Linked DNA regions of Alligator mississippiensis. The protein of the gene in region 3 interacts with the protein of the main gene of each other region in a pairwise test. Links are inferred from orthologs where the notes say so. Each region holds a gene or a part of one and is shown on either strand. Other genes may lie near its edges.

Region 1 (7,736 bases), on a different chromosome or scaffold from region 3:
CTAGTTTAAATGTGACATTGGTGTACTGTTACCAGTAGATTACTGAAAGAAAAGTCTATGAGGAAGAAACTAAAAGGCTTATTTCTAATCTTACTTCGTGCCTGTTTTATGCTAATTTGATTTCACTGACTTCACTAGAGCTACTCCAGTTATTATCAGAATCATAGTTGGAAGTACAAGACGTATGTGATATGAATCCAAGTTTAAACAAGGCAGTCTAGATCCGCTGAAACTGGCAGCTGGTTTTACATTTTTTGCTATATTAATAATTACCAGATTAAGGAAAGCAAAAAAAAAAAAAGTTCTGCAAGGCTAAAAAGGACCCAAAGAGCTTTCTTGTTATTTTTCTACAGAAAGAGAAAGTAACTGGAGAAGACTGTCCTTATACTTCCGAAAAAAAACCCACATTGAACTCTGCTCTATTTATTTTAATGAAGCAGTGTGCACAAATCTGACTGTGAGCAAATATTGCCAGCATTTGACTCCTAGCGACGACCATGTGGGTGCCTACTTTAAAAAAAGAGAAATACAGATAATATGCCTTATTTCTGGGAGCCCAGTCCTTGGTGGCCTTTGTTTCACCCTGACACTGCAGGATGAAACAAAGAAATCAGAATAGCTATACATAGTCTCCAGTGGTCTTGGGAGAGTTCAGTAATGTTTATAAAAGTTCTTTGAACATGAAATCTGATATATCATTGTTATTACTACCTGCAGATATCTTTAGCTGCAAATCAGGAAACCTTATACCATGTCCAGGTGATAAGGAAATATAATGCAGATTTATGGCACACATAATATTAGCTGTCATATCTCATGATCATTGCATTCACAAGGGAGATATAAAAGCTGCGCTGCTTTTGTCCAGCCCAGTAGGCATTGCCATGTTTCACAGTTAACATGGCAATATTTTGTGGTAAACACTTCAGGGAATTGAGAGGTTTGTGACAAGCTGTCTTCTCTATTAGGGTAGACCATAACAGAGGTGCCTAAAAGATGTGATATGTAATATGTTATGCCTTAAACTTTGCTATGGGCAATGCCACATGTCATAAAGGATTATAGTTTATCTTACGTTTTGCATAAGCCATTTCTGTTTATGTGGTTTGGATCAATGGATCAATATCCTTTCTAAACCTACAAAGCTTACAATTCAGCATTAACTAGCTTCCTACAACACTTCCACAATTCTCTTAGGCTCTCTCACAGCTTGGAAAGACTACAGCAGGCCGAAATGCAAATATTTCAAATATTTACACATATGAAGCGAACTCTACAACATAAACACCTGCTTAAGTCTCTGAATCTAACTGATTAGCATCCTAACATTTAAAATTCTTAAAGGATTCAGACTTTTAAAACAGAACAAAAATCCATTAGAATCTGCAAGCATGTAAACTGTCACAAAAGACCATGTAAAACAGAGGCGAGCAATTATTTCGGGTAGAGGGCCACTTACGAAGTTTTGGTGAACTGTCGAGGGCCACATGGGTAGCCCTGCCCCTTGACAGTTGCCCCACCCCCAGTCAGACACCTGCTCTTGGCTGTGCCAACACACAAATTTTGCATGGCAAAAATCATACCAATCTACCAATACAGAACATGTTACTTATTGGTGACCAAACAGCTTTTTAGAAATAGCTCTGCCTCTGGCATTCTCTCTCAAGCTGCAAGTATTGACAATATCTACTGGTATGACGTTCCATTGGACCAGCTGGTACTTAATACTTCAGTCGAAGTTAGAGCAAAATAAAACTTGAAAGAAGGCAGTAAGCCAAACCCAAAGTTTCACAACTGCCACTAATGACCCAAATTCATCAGGAGCTCTGTGATAGTGTGAAACAGGTCTGCATCAAATTGTGAATTGTTTTTAATTTGAATCTCCTTTTTGCATTAGTGCTGAACATGTCAAAACTTGTTCAAGGCAATTTATTTTAGTGCCCTGTGGACAGTCCCTTTCTAATGAAATATTCTTGACATTTGACATTGGTGAAGGACAGCCACTAACAAGCCAGTCTAAGGCAGCTGATTCTGATTGTCCCTCAACTTTTGGCACCACAAACAATGGGCCTTCTGCACAGAAGCCGGTAGGGTGAGCATCACTGGGTGAAAGGGAAAATTCCCAGTATAACTCATGTTTAGCGACAGGGTCTAACAGAAGGTGTTGTCCTGTAGCAGGTGGGGGAGGGCTAACATGCATCACAGAGAAGAAAAATATGCAGGAAAGGAGAGTGCAAAATGGATTTGATCCAGCCTGAAAAACTGACAAACCACAGATTGGGAGAAAACGTGGTATTAGAGCAGTGGTCTCCAACCTTTTTATGGTGAAGATCACTTTTTGGAACTAAAGGTCACCCCAGGATCTACTGTGTCCCCCTGGCTGCCTTGCCCCCCTGTCCTGCCCTGCCCCGCCCTGCCCCACTTCCCTCCGCCCCCTGCCCCATGCTCCCCTGGACCATGGAGTGTCCCAGATCCAGCTGGGCCTGATCCCCCTTCTGTGCTGCAATTGCACTGAGTTGCACCTGCCCAGCAGCCAGAGAAAGGTGGTGTTGGGCCCTGGCTTGGCTGGGTCTGAAAGTCTCCATGGTCTGGTGGTCACTGGGGGAGGGCATTCTTGCTGCTGGGTGCAGCGTGGCAAAGAACCCAGGGGCCAATGTCCCCCAACCTGCGCTGGGGACAAGGTGGCTGCTGCTGTGGGTTGCCTGCTGCACCCCGAGCACAGGTGGGAGGGGCACGGGCTGTCAGGGCCTCCACCAAGCTGTGCCCAGCGGTGGGAGCACCCCCCACGCACCCTTGGACGACCAGATCTTCCCAGATCTGGCTGGGCCAAGACCACCCCCACGTGAGTCCCTGCTGCTGAGCTGAGCCGCGCCTGCACGTGGCCAGCTGTAGCAGGACTTGAGGCACAGCGGCAGCAACCTCAGCCGCCTCTGCCCCCGCAGAGATGGGGAGGGAGCCCCAAGTGCCACTGGAGGAGCCTCCCTGGGCTCCAATCCTCCCACCACCTGGCCGGACTGGGGCCCCACTAACCTTCCCCTGCTCCTGGCCGGCCACAGTCAGCCGCTCGCCACGGAGACCTCAATCTGGCCCCTGCCCCTTCCCTCCCCCACAGATTGACCTGCTGGGGCTGGGGGCAGTGGGTGTGCACAAGTGCACATGCCCAGCTTTCCCCCCAACCCAGGATCTACCAAAAGAGGCTCTGGGATCTACCTGTACACACAGGGTCTGGACACGCCCAAAAAGTACATCTATAAGCCACGACAGGACTCAGCTGGTCTGAGACTGATACTGTGGGATACATGGCTGCTGGACTATAGAGTCCCATATCCCAGTGAAAGGCTCAGAAGAAAGATTTGACCCTGGGGACATATTGTGTACACAAGAGTTGGAAACAGGGACTAGATTGAGTCCAGACCCAATTGGCTGAAACCCATGTGTGCCCAGTATTTGGGCCCATTTTCAATACATGATCCTACGGAGAGGTACTGGTCCAGGCTGCATCATTCATTACTTCTGAAAAATCATGTGTCGCACCCAAAAAACTTAGGAAAACTTAAAACTTCAGCTCCTGCCACCATGAACATACTGTAACCTCCACTTTTTTTGTTTGTGCTGCTTATTAAAAAGTAGATCACACAGAATGGTCATACAGAAAACGATCTTAGAGAAAAGCCTCTGTAACCAGAAGGTAAATGCCGTCTCCTCCAAAGTTTAAAGTTTCATGATCTATACACGGACCTGGCGTTTTGCAGGGGAACTGACTTGTGACTTCCGAACGCTCGGCTTGGCAATACCATTAGACCTGTGATTCTCACCACCTTTAGACCCGAGACACCCCTGGGTAGACTCAAGGACTCTCAGCGAACACTCTTCTCCCCGCCCTTTCCCTAGCCCCAGTCTCTGTCCCTCACTGCCGCGGGAAGGCATCCCTATCTGTTCCACTGTAAACTAGGTATGCTTTGTGCAAATTCAATGTAGGTGCTGTTCCCCAGGAACCAGAGATGATCCAAGCAGGGTGCGTGGCCCAGGGCAAAACAGCCTGTGCCGGGCCCCGCTCCTGGATGCAAGAAACCAAGCGGAAGATTTGGCAATGGGGGGAAGGGGGTGGAGCTGGCTCTGCAGGGCCCCCCAAAGCACCGGGCCTGTGGCAGTCACCCTGATTTGTGCCCCCCCGTCCAGGGACGGCATCTACGGCATAAATTGAAGGCAACATTATTGTGCCAGTCATCTTCAGGCGATGCTATATGTACCCTGTGTGAAGAGCTCGAAGGCCACCAGGCAGCACAGTAAACACAATGGGGGACAGGGTTTGAACTTGCCCGCAGGGGCACGTGTTGGCACTGCGAGGGCCCCCCTCCGTATAGGCCTGAGGCACGGCGATTTAAATGCATAGCTTTCACAGATTTCATAATAACGCAGCGGGCTGCAACAGCAGCCTCCAAGTCCCCGGAGGGGGCTTGCAAGAGGATGGAGCCGGGCTGCTGCCGGCGGTGCCGAGGGCAGAGCGAGGAGCGAGGGCTCCAGCTGCAGCCAGGGAGGCTGAGGTTGAGGAGGACGGTGGCGAAGCAGGCGGGCGAGCTGTCCGCGCACGGTGCGGGATCGCCGTCCTCGCGGGCTGGAGCCCCGACACCGCCGCGCCGCGTGGGCCGGGCGGGGCCGGGGGCGGGAGCGGGAGCGCCTCCCCCCAGCACCTGCCGGCACCTCCCCCGGCGCCGCCCCGCCCCGTCCTACCTGGGCGCAGCCACGTCCGGGCCGCAGCGGGATGTCGGCCCGCGGGGGAGCCATGCCGCCGCCCCCCAACCCTGCCGCCTACTTCCCGGCGCCGCGGGTCACGCTGCCCTGCGGCCTCGACATCCTGCGCACCTACTCGGGGGCCTTCATCTGCCTCGAGATCGTGAGTCGGGACCGGGACCGGGACTGGGACGGGGGGGAGGCTGCCGCGTCCCGCCACCGCCACCGCCGCGAGCGGCCCCTGCGCACGGGGCCCGGGGCAGGCGGGGGGGACGGACACGCGCGACCGCCCGGGGACACGGCGCGGGCACACGCGTCCACACGGCGGGCGGCACACGGCTGCGTGCGGAGTAGGCGCGCCTACGTGCGGGTGCACGCGCCTCTCTACCTGCGTGGTACACACACACACACACACTCCCGCGCCCTACATACAGAGTGCAGGCAGCTACATGTACACAGCAGGGTGTGTGCACTCCACAAGTATGCGCACCCTTCTACCCACGTGGTTCACACACACACACTTCTACATACAAAATACAGGCACCGACATACAAAGTACACACTCTTCTGTGTATAAATTACACACACCCTTCTACCTACATAGTTCACATGCGCACACTTCTACATACAAAGGGCATGCACCCTTCTGTGTACAATGTATGCGTGCCCTTCTACCTATGTGGTTCTCACACACACACACACACACACAAAATATGCACATCTACATACCGAGTACACGCACCCTTCTGTGTACAAAGTATGCGTGCCCTTCTACCTATGTCATACACACACACACACTCCTACTTACAAGATACAGGCACCTACATACAAAGTACACGCACCCTTCTGTGTACAAAGTATGCATGCCCATCAACCTATGTGGTTCACACACAGACACACACGCACACCTACAAACTGCAGACACCTACATGCAGAGTGCACGCACCCTTCTGTACACAAAGTATGCACAACCTTCTACCTATGTGGTTCTCTCACACACACACACACACACACACACACACACACTTCTACATACAAAGTGCAGGCACCTTTATGCAGAGTGCACGTACCTTTCTGTATACAAAGTATGCATGCCCTTCTACCTACATGGTACGCACGCACACACTTCTACATACGATATGCACATGCACACTTCTATATACAAAGTACAGGCACCTACATACAAAGTACACGTATCCTTCTGTGTACAGAGTATACGCACCCTTCTACCTACATGGTACGCACACACACACACCCTTCTACATACAAAGTAGAGGCAACTACATACAGAGTACATGTACCCTTCTGTACATAGAACACACTGTTCTACCTGTATGGTACACATGCACACACTTCTACATACAAACTGCAGGCACCTACATACAAAGTGCACACACCCTTCTGTACTAAGAACACACTGTTCTACCTATATGGTACACACACTTCTACATACAAACTGCAGGCACCTACATACAAAGTGCACACACCCTTCTGTACTAAGAACACACTGTTCTACCTATATGGTACACACACTTCTACATACAAAATGCAGGCACCTACACATGAAGTGCACGCACCCTTCTACATACAAAGTATGCGTGCCCTTCTATCTATGTGGTACACGTGCACACACTTCTGCATACAAATTACAGGCACCCTTCTGCATACGAAGTATACACACACATACATGTTTCTACATACAAATACACACATATGTGCTTACATTTCCTCAGCCTTCTATCTGCACGCCCAACTTTACCCAAGTGCCCTCACTGAGCTCACTGGGACAGGTCAGGTCCTTAGAATTAAGCTGGAGCAGAAGGGTTTTCAGCTTCGCAGCTGTGATTACTAATTGAGCATGAGAGCCTGGGGAAATGTAGGTTACAAGACTAGAGTCTTACTTACAGCTGCAGATTTGAGTCGACTGGTCTAACCACCAGAGGAGCCCTGTACACACCTGACTTCCACCCTGTGGCTTCTGTATGTGTGCAGTCCTCCATTCTCAGGCAAGTCAGAAATGACCCTGAGTTAGTTAACTCCTTGATGGTTTTGCCAACCAGTGTAATACGAGTGCTGTGCCTTGCTTTAGTTCCACTGGACAGGTGCATTATCAGGGAAATCATTGTCAAAGTAGATACTAAAATTAGTAACCGTGATGCCAATCTCAGGGGTGGGATGCAGTGGAAAGACTGTGTGGCTATTACCCATGAAATACCTGTTTTCTGCAGAAAGGATTTGAGACTCCAGTGCCATGTTACTGTAGAAGGAAGTAGGTTTTCTCACAGCAGATGCATCATGAAAAGAAACTGTTGAAAATAGCTTGAAGGCTGACAGACTAACCTGTGAAATTGTGAATTCAGGCTGCCAGTGCATCTTTACATCAGATGTATTGGATTCATATATGCTGTGTTTTAATACCACAAAGGATTTACCTGTTCTTACTGGAAATTGAGCCAGGCCCAGATTAAAAAAGAAACTAAGCAGGCTTTCCATTGAAGTTCTTGCTATCTGGAAAAAAAAAGGAAAATTGCTTCCAGCTTCATGCCTTGGGAGGTATACACTGGAAATGGCCACTCAGCCTGAATTTGATCACTGTCATTACTGCCCATTGTCTTAAATAAGGTCTTAACTATTAAGCTAAATTAAGCTTTCCATCTTAAAGAGGATATAGGTTGTAGCCATGTTGATCTAAAGACATAGGAACACTTTCCAGTGGCAATGGTGATTTTAATGGGTATCTTTTGTTATAGATGAAGACATATTCATTGTGATCAATCAGTATGCTACAATGACATTTGGGAGGGCTAAATTCTGCTCTTTGTTACATAAGCTTAAGTGCAAAGAACTTGGCCTATCTCTTCCTTTTACTTAGCCTTCCAGATCCAGTCTGCCATCGCTTTTCTAACCTTAAAATATTTTACTTTTCATTTATTGCCTTTTATCCTTTTGTCCAAATGTCATGTGCCTAAAGGAAAATAAGAATAAACTCAGTTAAAAAACAAAAC
Region 2 (6,924 bases), on a different chromosome or scaffold from region 3:
TGAAGAGCCATGTCCCCAACCCCTTGCCATGAGAGAGCACAGTGAGCCGGTGCAGACATCACTGCACAGAGGGTCCAACAGTGACTGCGACCTGGAGAGCTGTTCAAGGCGGCTTGGGTCTCCAACCCTAACATGAGGCTGGATGGTGCAGGTGTCACTGCATGGAGGGTCCGGTGAGCTGCTCAAAGTGGCTCAGGTCTCGAACCCCAGCACCAGTGCAGACGCTGCTGCATGGTGAGCCATTGTTGGGCCAAGGGCCCTTGGAGGGGGCAGGGGGTGGTTCCCCATTCCCCACTGCTCGGAACAATGGCCCATGGGCAGCGCAGGCTCCGCAGCAAGGCGGCCCTGTACTGGAGCCCTGGTCCTGGGCACACAACCTGCTGAGAAGACCGAGCCATCTGGACATGTGAACAAGCCACGTGGGAATGAGACAGAGCACTCACTGCAGGAGCCACTTGCCTAGCTGGGGATGAAACACTGGGAACCCCTACTCACCGGGAAGCTTGACTTCTTGGACAAGGGGTTTCCCACTGGGGAGGGATATCAGAGTGGGTTTAGGCTAGAGAGAGAGAGACTCCTCTAGAGGAGGGGGGCATTTGGGATTATCATGCCTTACATTTTGGAGTGTTTATTAATTGCTTGTTGTGTTTTCTATTCTGAAGAGTTTATTCACTATTTATTGTGCTTTACATTTTGGGGGCGCTTACCCACCAGTTGCTGGGACATACTTACCCTCTGAGGATCCATGGGTGAGGTTTCTCTTGTGGATCTTGGGGACTGCTATACTTACCTATTATTTGTTGACTTGAATGTATTATATGTAAAGAGTTATCTTTATCACCCATCCAGTTTATTCTATCCCCTCACCTTTTATTCTGCATCTGAATAAACTATGTATATAGTTAAGATATTGTGTCCTGGTCTTCCTCTAGAGACACTGGAGAAGGGTAAGCTGTGAGCAAGCTGCAGTTTCCATTTCCAGCACATACGCCCTGCTGATCATCCCCTTCTATTGGAAAGGGGGCTTGCACACTCCGGTACACCTGGGATACAAATGTAAGAAAAGAACTGGGTGTTCTAGGTGGTAGGTAAAGTACTTTTAGTAACTTAGACCTTGACCCTAAAAGCACTTACACAAATGCCCACCATTCAGATAACTTGGTACTACTCACTGCAATAAATTTAACCAGGTATAAAATTGTTTCCAGGCCCAGTTGTTAAATGTATCTGATTTAGGGATACACATACAACTTCAGTGCTCAATATGTTCTACTTGCACAAATTGAAATCAGTTTGGGAAGACTGGTATTTCATCATCATTTGCAATTGCAAAGCTTATAAATGTTGCCACTTATTCAAAGCTTCTTCCAATGTGTTATTGCAGGTATTAAACATTTTGTACAGCCAGGTTTACTTGTAAGTTCCATGCTGTCCAAGAAAAGAAGGTGACTGACACTTAAGTTTCACCATTGACTTCCTGTGTGCACCTGTATTTGTGAAGAACACAGTGTAATAGTAAGCCAGTTGCGTGAGTAATCTTCTAATGTATTTATTGTGGAGAAAACCTTCACTGTGGTACTGAGTCCTCAATGTTTTGTGACTGAGAAGGAGAGGCACAGTAAGATCTTAGCACCCAGAGATGGAGAGAAAAAAGGATTTAATTTTCCAAATTTTTCATCTTCTATTATTCTCCACTGTTTTTTCTTCTTCCTCTCACTTTCTATTCTTTTTTCCTCCCTTTCATTCTCTTCAGTTTCTAAATGTTGCAGACTTTCTGAGATGGGTGATCCTGATTTCCCTTCTATTTTCTTTGCTGAATCTTACAAACGTTATTTTCACAGTCCTTAGCTCCACATTGCTCTGCCTGCCTCGAAGAAAACTGGTGAGCACAAGAGCTGACAAAGAGGCAAGAAAAAGGACCAGATGACAATTTGTGACTGGCCAAGTGAGGATGGCAGCATAGGGTGACTAGATTCCCAAAGAAAAAACTGGGATGACATCAGCTGGGAACGGATTGGGGGCATGACAGCAGGGGACAAAAGCTGCTATGTGCAAGGGATATGTGACAAGCCTGTTGCATATATGCTCAGGTAACTTGTCTTGGTAACATGGGCTCTGCTGACCAGTGCTGCCTCAAACAGCCTGGTCTGGCAGAGGACTGTAAAAAACCCAAACTTAGCTACTGGGCTTACAGGGAAGTCAAGATAGGCCCTGAATGCAGGAAGGTCCCCAGGGAAAGCAGGGGTTCATGGCCATCAGGCAGCTTTGCCTGGCCTGACCCTGCCCGGGGCTGCAAAACCTGGGACAAATCACTGGTTTTTAAACAAGCTCCTGCCAGGCACCAGACCATGGCTGGCACTGTGGGGAGGCACTCTGCTCTCTGTAGGGGAAAGGGAGCCAGGCTGCCCCTTTCCCCTCCGTTCATGGCATTGAACGAAGCAGGCTGCCTGTTGCCTCTGCGAGCTCAGGCCTCTCTGAACCAGCTAGTCTGTGAGGCAGGTATTATCAACCAGGCGGCCTTGAGATCCTTTAGGGATGCCCCATGTGAGGCATGCCAGCACAACCCGGAGAGAAACCCAGAGGTTTCCAAGAGGACCCCAGAGTACGGCAAATGTTCTGCCCTGCTGTGGGCTTTCTGGACAGGCCGATGGCCCCTGTACTTTTCCATAAATCCAAAAAAACCCCAAAAACAGGAGAGGAGGGGGGAAACAAAGCCGGCTTTTCCTCAGAAGCACCCTGCGAAGAGGGGCCGGGTGCCTAACTAGGGTTGGCAACCCTGAGTCTATTCGAGGAGGTTTCCAAAATGCCAGTGTGCCTGCAACACAACACGAATGCGCCCACGTACTTGTGTGTATCAGGTACGGATTATGGTGTGTAGACGTTATGTCAAGAAGGCAAATGCACGTGACTGTTACATTTTAAAAACCCACTGGACTACTGTACAAATCAGATTCAACATTTAATCTTTATTTTAATGAACGCCCTGTCATTGATCTCTCAGGTGACTCCCAGCAGTCTCCTGGAGATTTCTTTCTCATTCCTAGAGACACCAGGGCAATGCTGGTGGGTTGGCAACCCCAAGCCAAAGGGTGCCCTGAGCCTCCAGGAGCTGAGCACCCCCTACACGCTGCCTGATCTTTCTCCCGATTCAGGGTGGCGCTGTACAGATGGGCAGTGTCGCCCAATTGGGTGGCAACAGCGGGGCAGTCTGCTAGCTGCCAGGCTCTCAAGGACCGGTGTTTCTAGGAGGGGGGGATAGTGCTGGGGACACATGTGCTCTCGGGAGCTGGTGAGCGGTGTGTTGCAGGGCATGCATGGCGCTGGGACTGCCACGGCCCACCCTGGGGCGCCACTTGCAGCACACCACTCCCCTGGGGCTCACAGGAGCACCTGGGGCAGCCCCAGGCCAGGTCTGCAACCCCCAGAGCCCTTGGGCCCACAAGGGAGGGCCTGTGGGGCAGAGGCCTGAGTTGGGGGGCTGCATAGTAACCACCCCTTCCCTTCCAGGAGGAGTGCGTGGCCTCCCCCTCATTTAATTTGGTATCTTCCCCAAGTCCCCCCACCCTCTACTTCATTTGGTATCTTCCCCCTGCCCCCACCCCGGAGAGTTAGTTCCATCTCCCTCCCACCCCCGACCGAGCTGAAAGGGGCGGTGCAGAGCTGGGCGAGTCCCCGCCCCCTTCATGAATATTCACAAGGCTGGCGGCGCGCAAGCCGGGGAGAGAGAGAGAGAGGAGCGGTGGCCCCACCCCCGAGCCGAAGCTAGCGGCCGGCGCTGGGCGTGTCCGCGGCGGGCCCCGCCCCCGCGGGGGTGAATATTGATGAGGCGTGGCGCGCGGCGCGGTGTCGTGGCGGGCAGCGCGGGCGGCGATTGGCCCGCCGCGGGTGTGCGCGGTGACGCGTGTCGCGGCGGTGCGGGTCCCGATTGCTGCAGCCGCTTGTCAGTGTGACGAAGATTGGCACCCAGGTAAGCGCTGTCACTCAAACCCGCTCCCAGCCAGCTCCGCCAGCCATCCATCACGGCGCGCCCGCCGCCGCCGCCCGGAGCCCCGCCGCGCCGTGCCGCGCGGCCCGGCCGGGGGGGCGGGGGGGGCAGCCCGCCACACGGAACAGCGGCGGGGGAGGGGGCCGCTCGCGCTCATGCCCAACCCGAGCGGGGGGGGGGGAAGGGAGGGAGAGAGGGAGGAAGGGCGGGGGTGAGGGGCGGTGGCGGGCAGGGGAGGGGGGAGCGAGGAAATTTCTGGAACAGCCGCCGTGGAACCGTTGTCTGGGCGAGCGCGCGCCGGCCGGGTGTGGGCAACAGCTGTGCGCGCGCGCGCGTGTGTTGGGGGGGTATTTAAAGGCCCAGCAGCAACTTGGGGCACATTCCGATGGAGCCGGGGGTCCCTAGCTCTGGTCTTAACACCTGCCCCAGTGGGGCTCCCTTCCCCCCGCCCCCCTACGCGCAGTGGTGTAGTCCGCGGGGAAGCGGTACAGCTCCCTCCGGAGTAGTAGTGCGGCCCGGGGTGGGGGGGGGTTTCTCATAGCGCCTGGGTATCGAGTGCCCCCTCCTGCCCCTGCACCCACTCCTACGGCAGGAGGCGGGGCAGCCGTTGCCGCAGTCGCGGCCCCCAAGCGCGTGCAGCGTGAGGCCCCGCCCCGGCGGGGCAGCGGAAGAGCCCGGCCCGCCTAGCCCGCCGAGGCCTGGTCGCGGTGCGCGCGGCTCGGGGAGGGCGGCTGGCTGCGTCCAGCCACCTGCCCGCTGCTGAGCCGGCTGCTGCGTGTGCCCCAGAGGCTGGGCTCGGCTCTGCAGCAGCTGCCGCCAGCAGATGTAATAGTCACCTCGGGCCGCCCAGCGTCCCCCGGGCTTCTCCGCAGCCTGGCCTGGGAGCTACTGCTCCCCCGGGGCCGGACCTGCTCTGAGCTCATGTATTAACACCGACACCAGCACCTGGGCCTGCTCTGTGCTTCTGCATCTCTACTTCTCAATCTCCATTTCACTCTTTCTCTCTTGAATTTTATCCATGCAGTGGTTCTGGGCAGCTAATGCTCCAAATGATTTTAGAGGTGTAGTTGCAGTGGCGTGGGGTTTTTTCCTCTTTTTTTTTTTTTTTATCTTGACTTTTTTTTTCCTGCTGGTGCCCAGGTTCTCAACCTTTTTTGTACCAGGACCCATTTGTAAACATCGATGGCCAGCCCGGACCCAATGCCCCTCACTCCTGACCTGCTGCCCAGTGCCCCCAGTGTGCGCGGGGGCGGGGGGGGAGGGGGCAAGCAGCCCCTTGAGGGGATGGAGCTCTGCCAGCCTGCAAGGGAAAAACCACAGTTTCCCACGTTTTTCTCTAAAGAAAAATCCATTTTTAAAGTTTGTGACCCTTTCATGTATTCTTGCAACCAGTTTTGGGTCATGACCCATGGGTTGCAAAATGCTGTGTTAGTCAGCTTTGATTGATTGATTTGTTCCTCATTTAGGGTAACTAACGTATCTCAGGGGAGACCATTAGGGTCCTGATCTGTTTCCCTTATTCATCGGAGTCTTGTACCTGCTATATATATAGTTTTGGCCACACAGTTACAAATGCTGTCCAGGCAGGGTTCATTTTTTTCCTCAGCCCCTTTTGGAATCTGCTGCGTGTTCCATTAAGTTGGTTACTGAAGTGAAGAGACTGTGTTTTGGCCTGGCTTGCAGACTTTGGAGAACCTTTGAGTCACAGTTGTCTTATGTCACAGTCCCTTTATTCTAAAATCTCATTCAATTAAAATAGTCTTGCATTTTTTCACCTTTTTAAAAATCTTACAATAAAGTGAGCACTCATATTGCTGTTTACCTATTCAGGTGTTCATCATCTTGCTTAGAAATTTATTTCTAAGTGTTCTTCACTTTTCTTTTTGCTACAGTATCACTCTTTTGATAAGATGTGATTTTTAGAGGTTTTTAAAAAATACATATCATTAGTATAGCTACCAACGCTGCAGCAGTTGTATCACTTTACAGATCCTGGTATAGTCCAAGTGGTAAAACGTACTTATTGCAAGAATGAATGTTAATTGTGCATGCAGAAAGCCATAGTCTCTTAAATTGCCTTGAAGGGTAGAAAGCTAATGACTGCTGCAGTATTAGAAATTCCCTGATACAAAGTCACAATATTTAGGGCAGTTTTAGGCAAAAAAAAAAAATATATTGTAGACTCACTTTCTTAATACCTCTGCCAAAAATTGCAGAATTGTGTTTTTTAAATATGAAAATAACTGCTTTTGTATTTAATCATGCATTGGTTTAAATTGTCGAACCTACACACGTAACAAACCATATATTTGGGTAAAACAGTATCTTGCCTCATTTGATTTCATCCTTGGTTTTTAGCTTATCCAAAATCTCTAGTTTTTCAAATTTTGTTACAAATGAGAATATTTTTTGCTGTTTGGTTTATTCTGGGCAGTGAAACATGCTCAGTGCCTGTCCCTGCAAGTAGCAATAATTTTCGATACTTCCCTGCATTCTGACAACAAAAGGCACAAATGAGAGCTTCAGAAGAACATAAGAAGTGCCTTACTAGGCGTGTCTACACATTGATTAATGTAATTACAGCGCATTAAGTTTAGTACCTGCAACTACAGGTACTAACAATGCACCAAAATCAGTGCTACTACACATTAGTGCAGATGAGCACTCTTAATGTGATGTTAATGCATGTGACTTAAGTCTATTGCGCATTAGCATGGTTTTTGCCAGCTGTGCCAGTGCACAGTAGAAGGGTATTCTGTGCATTGTCTTGTGTAGATGCACTCACTGGGTCAGACCAATGGTCCATCTAGCCCAGTATCCTGTTTCCAGGCGTGGCAGAAGTGAATGCTATACCAGGAGATCATTGAATGAAATATCTCTATAGAGTGCTTTATCCCCAGTTCAGTACCCTTCCTGCATCAGCATACAGATTTTGTGTG
Region 3 (7,103 bases):
TGCGAAAATCTTTTGTCATAATACGCAGGAACGTACGCCTGGGTACGCATATATTTGTGCACACATTTCTAGAGACACATGCAGGTCCCTGAGCAACTCGGAAGGCTCCAGCCCATTTCCTGCCTGGTCAGGGCTGTGTCCTATGGCAGATCCTGCGCTAATTGCAGGGCTCCACGAGAAGGTGACCCGAGTCAAAGAGAAAGTTGCCGGCCAGGCTGCTCCCTTGCTCTCACTCTGCAATTGGCTTCTGCGAGCTCCCATCGCTCCTTTAAGAAGCTGCCACACAAACAAGGCAGCTGCTCTGCTCCTTCCCTGATTGCAGCCAGAGGGGGAATGGACTCTGCGGACGGTGACACACGATCATTTTCATCTACATTTCATTTTACATCGGGATTATGAATTGTAAAATTTGCTGCAGATTTATGGCAGCCCCCCTCCCCTCCTCTCCTCTCCTCTCCCCTCCCCTCCCCGGGATGAGAAGCAGGGAAGGAGGCAATGATCAAAGATGGCTGCGGTGCCCCGAGCAGCCCGAGCCGGAGGAGAGCCCCGCGCTGCTCGGCTGGGCAGAGCCGCGGCCCGCCTGGGCTCTTACCTGTTTTCTCTTTGATTTCACACAGGACACTGAACAGAGCAGGCTTCATCCTGTGGCAGTTCAGTGCATGCTTTCTGCAAAACAGACAACACAAAACACACGGGTTAGCACCAGCTATTGAGAATATGGCGCCTTTCTGCAAGAAAATGCTTGAATTGCCACGCTGCCCCGCGCCCTGCAAGGCGGCGGGGAGTCAGGCTCGTGCGGGCTGGCGCCCCGGGGGCTCGGGCCGGGGCAGCGGCGGCAGCTTGGCCCGAGGCGGGTGCAAAGTACCAACCATCCGGGGGAGAGGAAGCGAGCCGGGGTTTGACCTCGGGGACAAGGGGCGCAGGGAACGGGGGGGGGGGGGCGCCCCTCTGCTGCCCGGCCCGGCCCGGCCCGGCCCGCTTCTGGGCATCGCATCAGCTGTGTGCAAATGCCCCGCGATGCCATGTGCATCCGTCACCGCCTGTCTGCAGCCCTTTCCATGCCGCTACATTGCACCTGATTTATTGGGGGGGGGGGGGAGGGGGGGGGACGGGACTTCCAGACTTCGCCTTCTTTGTTTTGTATTTACTGTGATTGGAAACATTGAGGGTTTTCCCCCTGCAGCAATATCTTGTCAGCTTCGCAATTCATCTGCCGCCACTTCGGGGGCAGGAGGGGAGGAAAGAAAGTTACACTTCTTAGCAAGCAAGCGAAGCCTCCCGGAGCACAGACCGATTTTGGCAGCCGCTCCGGGACGGGGGTGCGCCAGGGGGGCAGGCGGGGAGCGCCCCAAGGCACGGCGGTGAAATGGGACTATCGCAGCGAGAGCGGTAGTGCGGTCAAATGGAGGAGAGGGATGGGATGAGCATCGCGAAGTGATAGATCTAGCGATTTAAAAAAACCCCCAAATGAATAGCAACTTGGGCTCTGCCTTTGCTGCTTTGCATTTCTCCCACAGTATTAAGAAGTTGCTCTAATGGTGAGACTCCGCAGAGAAACAAAAACCACACACACACACACAGAGAAAAAAAAAAGAAAAAAAAAAAAAAAGAGAAGGTTTAATTAGACGAAACCAACTTTGCTTGTGCCTCATCCAGGCTTTGGTCAGTGATGGTCATGATCTGATGGAGGATGTCTCCGATGTCCTGCTTCCTGCCGTCGCCGTCTGCCCCTTCGTGTCCGTGGGGAGGAGGCAGAGCCATGCCCCCCTGCACCGAGTGGCCGGCCAGGTTCACCCCGGCCAGAGTCTGCAGCATCCTGGACTGATCATCCATGCTCCTCCCGCAGCCCGGGCGGGCGAGCGGCGGCGGAGCGGAGCACGAGCCGGGCGAGCGAGCAAGGAGCTGCTGCCTCCAAAAGAAAAGGCAAATAAATCTCTGGCTCTGGCAGGCAGCGGCAGTTCCTGGCGGGAGAAAAAAAATTAAAAAAAAAAATAAAATCTAGATAGGTGAAGAAAAATAATAATAATAAAAAAAACAAAAATCAGTATTTGGGCTTTGCCCGGATCTCGGTTGTTTATTCCACGCTCCGCTCCTTCCCCGCGCAGTAAATCACCCTCTTCTCTAGTTACAATCTTCCTTCATCATCATCATCGCCAGCATGTTTGCGGCGGGCACCGAGCACTTGAGCAGCTTTCCTCGCAGTTCGCGTGTCCGGGTGGGGGGGCGGGAAAAAAAACAAAAAACAAAACGGGGGGCGGGGGGGGGAAAGGAAGGAGAAAAAGAGAAAATCTTCCTCCACCGCTTGGCTTGTTCCCTGCTGCCTTTTTGTTGCCGGGGCTTTGGTCCGGAAAGAAGAGCGAGCGCCCGGTGCTTCTCGGCCCGAACAACACACGCACACACGGGGAGAGAAATCGGAAATTAAAAAAAAAACCCAGCGAGGAGGAAACAAAACAATCCCGGAGCCCCCCCGCCCCCGCCCCGCCACAAAATAACAATTAAAAAAAAAAGCCGACAAAACAGTAAAAAAAAAAAAAAATTAAAAAAAGTGTGTGGGGGGCAGAAAATTAAAAAAAAAAAGGGGGGGGGAGAAAATTAAAAAAAAAAATTATTAGGGGAATGAGTTGCCCCCCTCCCCCCCGCCCGACCGGGAGTGGTGTGTGCTGAGGGGCTCGACAACAACAAAAACCCCGGAAAAATGAGGAAAAACACCTCAAAAGTTTGAAGTTGTGAGGAAGAAAAATAGCAATAATAATAATAATAATAATAATAAAAGCAGGGGAGGTCGAGAGGAGAGAAGGGAGAGGAGGAGGGGGGGGGGAAAAAAAAATTAATGACACGACTCTCGGCAAAGCACTGTGCAAAAATATCCGGCAGCGGGAATTTATGAGGCGGCGGCCGGTGACTGTGTGTGTTTTATGTTGTTTGATGGCCGCTCCGGTGAGGGATTGACAGGCTGCCAACGCCACTCACTCACCCGCAGACGTGTCACCCTGTGAGGAGGCGAGCGCCGCGCCAGCTCCGCGCCGCGCACGCCCCGCCCCTGACCCCGCGCACGCCCCGCCCCCCGGACACGCCCCTCCAATGGGGGCCGCGGGACGGGACGCCGCCGGGGTCACCCGCCGCCCGCCCGCCTGCCCGGCCGGCCGGGCCCCGCGCGCCGGCGGAGCGACCCCGCCACCCACGGCCAATGGGAGGGCGGCGCGCGGGCCAGTGGGAGCGCGCGGGGCCGCGCCCCGCCCCTCGGCCCGCCCCGCCGAACTTCGGATTGGCGCGTTCGAATGGTCACGTGGCAGCGCCGGCCCCGCCTCCTCCCTCTCCATGGCAACGCGCCGGCGGCCCGGCTTCCGCTAGGCACCGGATGAGGTCCCCCCACCCGGGCTTGGAGCCACTCGTGGGTGCCCTCGGCATCCTCACGTGGTGATTCGGGAGGCGGGAATCGACACCTCGCACCCACTGAGAGGTGGCCTAACGAAAAAAGAAAGATGTTTTTCTGCAATTATTATTTTTTGCCTGTGTCCCACTTGGAATCGTGAGGGGACTCATGAGCGCCAGCACCTGGGGGCACGGCTGTGGGCAGCGGGGGTGTGGCGGCGCCAGCGGCGATCATGGGACTGCCCGCAGACGCTGAGGCGCTGGGGGTGGCAGCACCTTTTCGCAGGGGGTGCACGTGCACCCGCGTGCATCCCCTGTGCGTCGCCAGTGACATGAATAATACCTGGGGAGTCGTATCTGTGTATATTTTTGTCATATTAGAATGAAAATGTCCAGATTTTTTTCTTATTTGGGGGCCCCTCGCATGGGGAGGCCCCAAGCTGTAGTTGAAGTGGCTTAAGCCTACATCCGGCACTGCCGGTGAGGCCTGCGCAGCTCTGAAGCCACCACTGTGCTCCTGAAAACAGCCTCTTGGGATCGTGACTCCAAAACCAGGCCGGTTTGGCCCCTCTGGACAGAACAAAACTGGGGGCTGCTGGAAGGCCCTTTTCTGCACAAGGGGAACGACCCGTTCGATGGCGGCCTTGCAGACAGTGGGCCTGGGTCACTTGTGACCAGTGCGCAAACCAGGCCTCCCTGGCTTGGGGAGCGTGGGGACTGCCATCAGTACAACGTAGATTCATAGATGTTAGGGGCTGGAAGGGACCTTGCAGATCATCAGCATGATATTGAATGTTTCAGGGGTGCTTTGTCACAGGGTGGCTTTAGATAGGAGGGAACATGTCCAAGCTAACAGCTCCATCTGTGTTTTGTAGGTGTCTGGCCGGCACCATGGCCAAAAGAGAGGGCTTCACCTTCCTCCCAAGCTCCCCTCGCCGCCCTTCTCCAGCACAGTTGACACGACTGTCGTTTTGCCTGTCGCCCAGGCCCGTAACCTGAGTGTCATCTCTCGATCTGCACGTCCACTGTGTACCGAAATCTTCCGGATGATTCCTGTAAGACATCTCTAGGCCTCTCCTGTCCTTCCCCACAACTAATGCTTCCGCCCATGTCCTCATGACTTCCCCTTGATTGCCGAAACTTGAATGCAGTCTCATCCCACTGATGTTCATCCAGAATGTTTTTGTAACAATTATTTTCCTTTGGCCTTGACATCCCTCTGCTCCCCTCCAATGGCTTCTTCATCACATGAAAGATAAGCAGTAGTGTCTTCACTTCCCATACCCTTCACAGCCTCTCCCTTCCTTATCTATCATCTTTTGTGCACTATCAAGATCTTGATTCCTGCCTCCAATTAGCCAATTACGCCACTACTATCCACTCATTTCATTTTCAAACAGCTTCCTGCTTGCTCCTGTGCTGCCCCCTCACCCGTGGAAACAGCTCCCTGTAAGTATTTGCAAAGTTACTGCATTATTTTCCTTCAAATATTAAAACTTTTGCTGTGGCGTCCTTGGCAATGGCTAGGCTGCTGATGTGCTGATACTACTTTCTACCAGGCTGGCCAGCATTGTCCCATTGTTTCCCTAAACTCCTCCGTTTATCTTTTGTTTTCAATAGGAAGACTTTTAAGCTGCTGGGGGCATTGACCATCCCTTGGTTTCTGATAACACAGTACACAGAGCACTGGGGTCTTAGTTCATGACAAAAGCACCTCAGCTTTATTATGGAAATGATGCATAATTTATTGAAAAATTATCTTTGTTTAAATGCATCCCGTTTTATTCTAATAGGGCTGAGGTGTGTATTTTCAGTAACTTCTAATAACGTGGAAAGTTTGGAAGGACAGCAATATACCAGAATGACCATTAGATCCAAATCATTTAATGACCTATAATTCAAACACTTGAGCTTGAAAAAAAATAATTGGGCCTGAAAATGACTGTTTGTTGAGAATGCTAATGAGAATTTTTCTGCAAGGTTTGATAAAGCTTTGTCAAAGTTAGAAACAGTGTAAAAGAGGACTTAAAGTGGAATTTGCTTTGCTCATCAGCTAGGGAGAGAGCATAAGCTTGCTGGGTATTGTAAAATAAGTAAATAAAAAATGGATATTGATAGAGGTCACACAGGAAGACTGTAGTGGGTAGGAGCTGGAGCCCAGACCCAGCCTTGCAGCAGCTGTTAATTGCAGGAATGTTCTAGTGCTGTCTCTTCTAAAATAATATTTATAGAGTGTGTGTGTGACACACACACAAATTTCCTTTGCAGCTATTTTTAAAGAAAACTTTCACATTTTAAGAATATTATTTATTTATTTATATATATAGTATATATATAAATAGAAGAATATATATATATATATATATATATATAGTACAGCTTGTAGTATGGTTACCTTTGCTTGTCTCATTCCAACAGATGCCATTTGTGATACTTTTAAGTTTGGTTTTCTTATTTGAATAATTTTATTAGAATTTTGTAGCATGTCTAATTCTAATATTTATTAAAATACATGTAGATGCAAAACACCACTTTATGCTTACGATTATTTATTAATGCCACATTTTAAAATATTACACAGAAAATTTATTCCAGTACACATTAGTAAATAAATTATGCTTGTAATTTCTAATGCATTTTTAATTATAAATTTATCCATGTCTCCTTTTATTTATGATAACCGTTCTCGCCATTGCAACACAGTATATATTACGGGAGACACTATTAATTACACATTCTTGGACATTGAGCTTGACAACACATACTTTGAATCTGATTTTTTTTTTTTTGAAAGATTCAAAGTGTCCTTGCTGGTACTCTTATTCTAAAACCACCCATAAACAGAAACAGTGTCTACAAATGTGTGTCTACATTTTGGAGATTACCGTGTACCCAAAATCAGTGGATACATGGTATTCTGTGGCTGGTTGTTAGACTGCAAATGTGTACGAAGCCACACTCCTGGACAAAGAAATGATTTATTTTCCAGCTCTGTTTCTTTTAGACTAAGGCTGCCGTGCAGCATTTCAGAAGCTGTGGTGGCAGCTCAGGTCTTTGGGACCCTTGGAGCCGGGCTAGAGAGATCCTGGTGACCACACTGCGCGTGGGGATAGAAGGCGGCAGAAATGCAGGTGCGTCTCCCGCAGAACACGACAGCCCGTCTTGCCAGGATGGGTTTCCGCCAGCCCGCAGCTCCAGGCTCGGCTCCCAGTACTTCGGCTTAGCCGTGACGGGACAGGATGGGGCGTCCAACATTCAGCGCAGAGCTTTGCTCTCGCTGACGAGGCTGGCATCGGTTCCTAAGGAAGCCAACGTCAGCCTCGTGCTTCGTTCACCCCCGTATCTGCAGGTGCTCTTCGCTTCACGGCGTCTTGTCACGATGCGGTGCTCTATCAGCGAGCACGCTCGTTTAGGGTCGGGCGACACTCGGTTGTAACGTTGTTTGGGCGACGACTGCGATGGAACTGGATTCGCTTCACATCGTGTCGTGTTTTTCAAGACGGTAACTCCCACGTTAAGTGAGTAGTGCCTATACATCACCCAGCTACAGACCCCCCGGCCCTGAGCTGCGGCCTAGATGCCTTTTCCCACGCAGGGGGCTCCATGGAGGCGGCCCCGCAGCGAAGGAAGCGAGCTACCCGCCCCGTCCAGGCCGGGCCCCGACGGGCGCACCACTGCGCCTGCGCGGAGCCGAGCCGCCGGCCCCGCCCTCTGCCCGGCCTCGGCGCCTG

Evidence for each region.
Region 1: the proteins of PBX3 (region 3) and MAL2 interact in a two-hybrid assay, tested with the Homo sapiens proteins (2 studies listed by BioGRID). The two-hybrid records come from large-scale screens. The link is inferred for Alligator mississippiensis from reciprocal best matches to the Homo sapiens genes PBX3 and MAL2.
Region 2: the proteins of PBX3 (region 3) and PKNOX1 interact in a two-hybrid assay, tested with the Homo sapiens proteins (2 studies listed by BioGRID and IntAct). The link is inferred for Alligator mississippiensis from reciprocal best matches to the Homo sapiens genes PBX3 and PKNOX1.

The regions. Positions count from the first base shown.
Region 1 is NC_081826.1:23,438,631-23,446,366, reverse strand, and holds the start of MAL2 (protein MAL2), read left to right. Parts: upstream 1-4,714; 5' UTR 4,715-4,762; coding exon 4,763-4,894; intron 4,895-7,736. UniProt on the Homo sapiens protein: Member of the machinery of polarized transport. Required for the indirect transcytotic route at the step of the egress of the transcytosing cargo from perinuclear endosomes in order for it to travel to the apical surface via a raft-dependent pathway.
Region 2 is NC_081824.1:299,810,035-299,816,958, forward strand, and holds the start of PKNOX1 (homeobox protein PKNOX1), read left to right. Parts: upstream 1-3,862; 5' UTR 3,863-3,967; intron 3,968-6,924. UniProt on the Homo sapiens protein: Activates transcription in the presence of PBX1A and HOXA1.
Region 3 is NC_081835.1:66,704,153-66,711,255, reverse strand, and holds the start of PBX3 (pre-B-cell leukemia transcription factor 3), read right to left. Parts: upstream 3,071-7,103; 5' UTR 2,975-3,070; intron 2,969-2,974; exon of another isoform or gene 1,962-2,968; 5' UTR 1,834-1,961; coding exon 1,637-1,833; intron 696-1,636; exon of another isoform or gene 667-695; coding exon 593-666; intron 403-592; exon of another isoform or gene 143-402; intron 1-142. UniProt on the Homo sapiens protein: Transcriptional activator that binds the sequence 5'-ATCAATCAA-3'.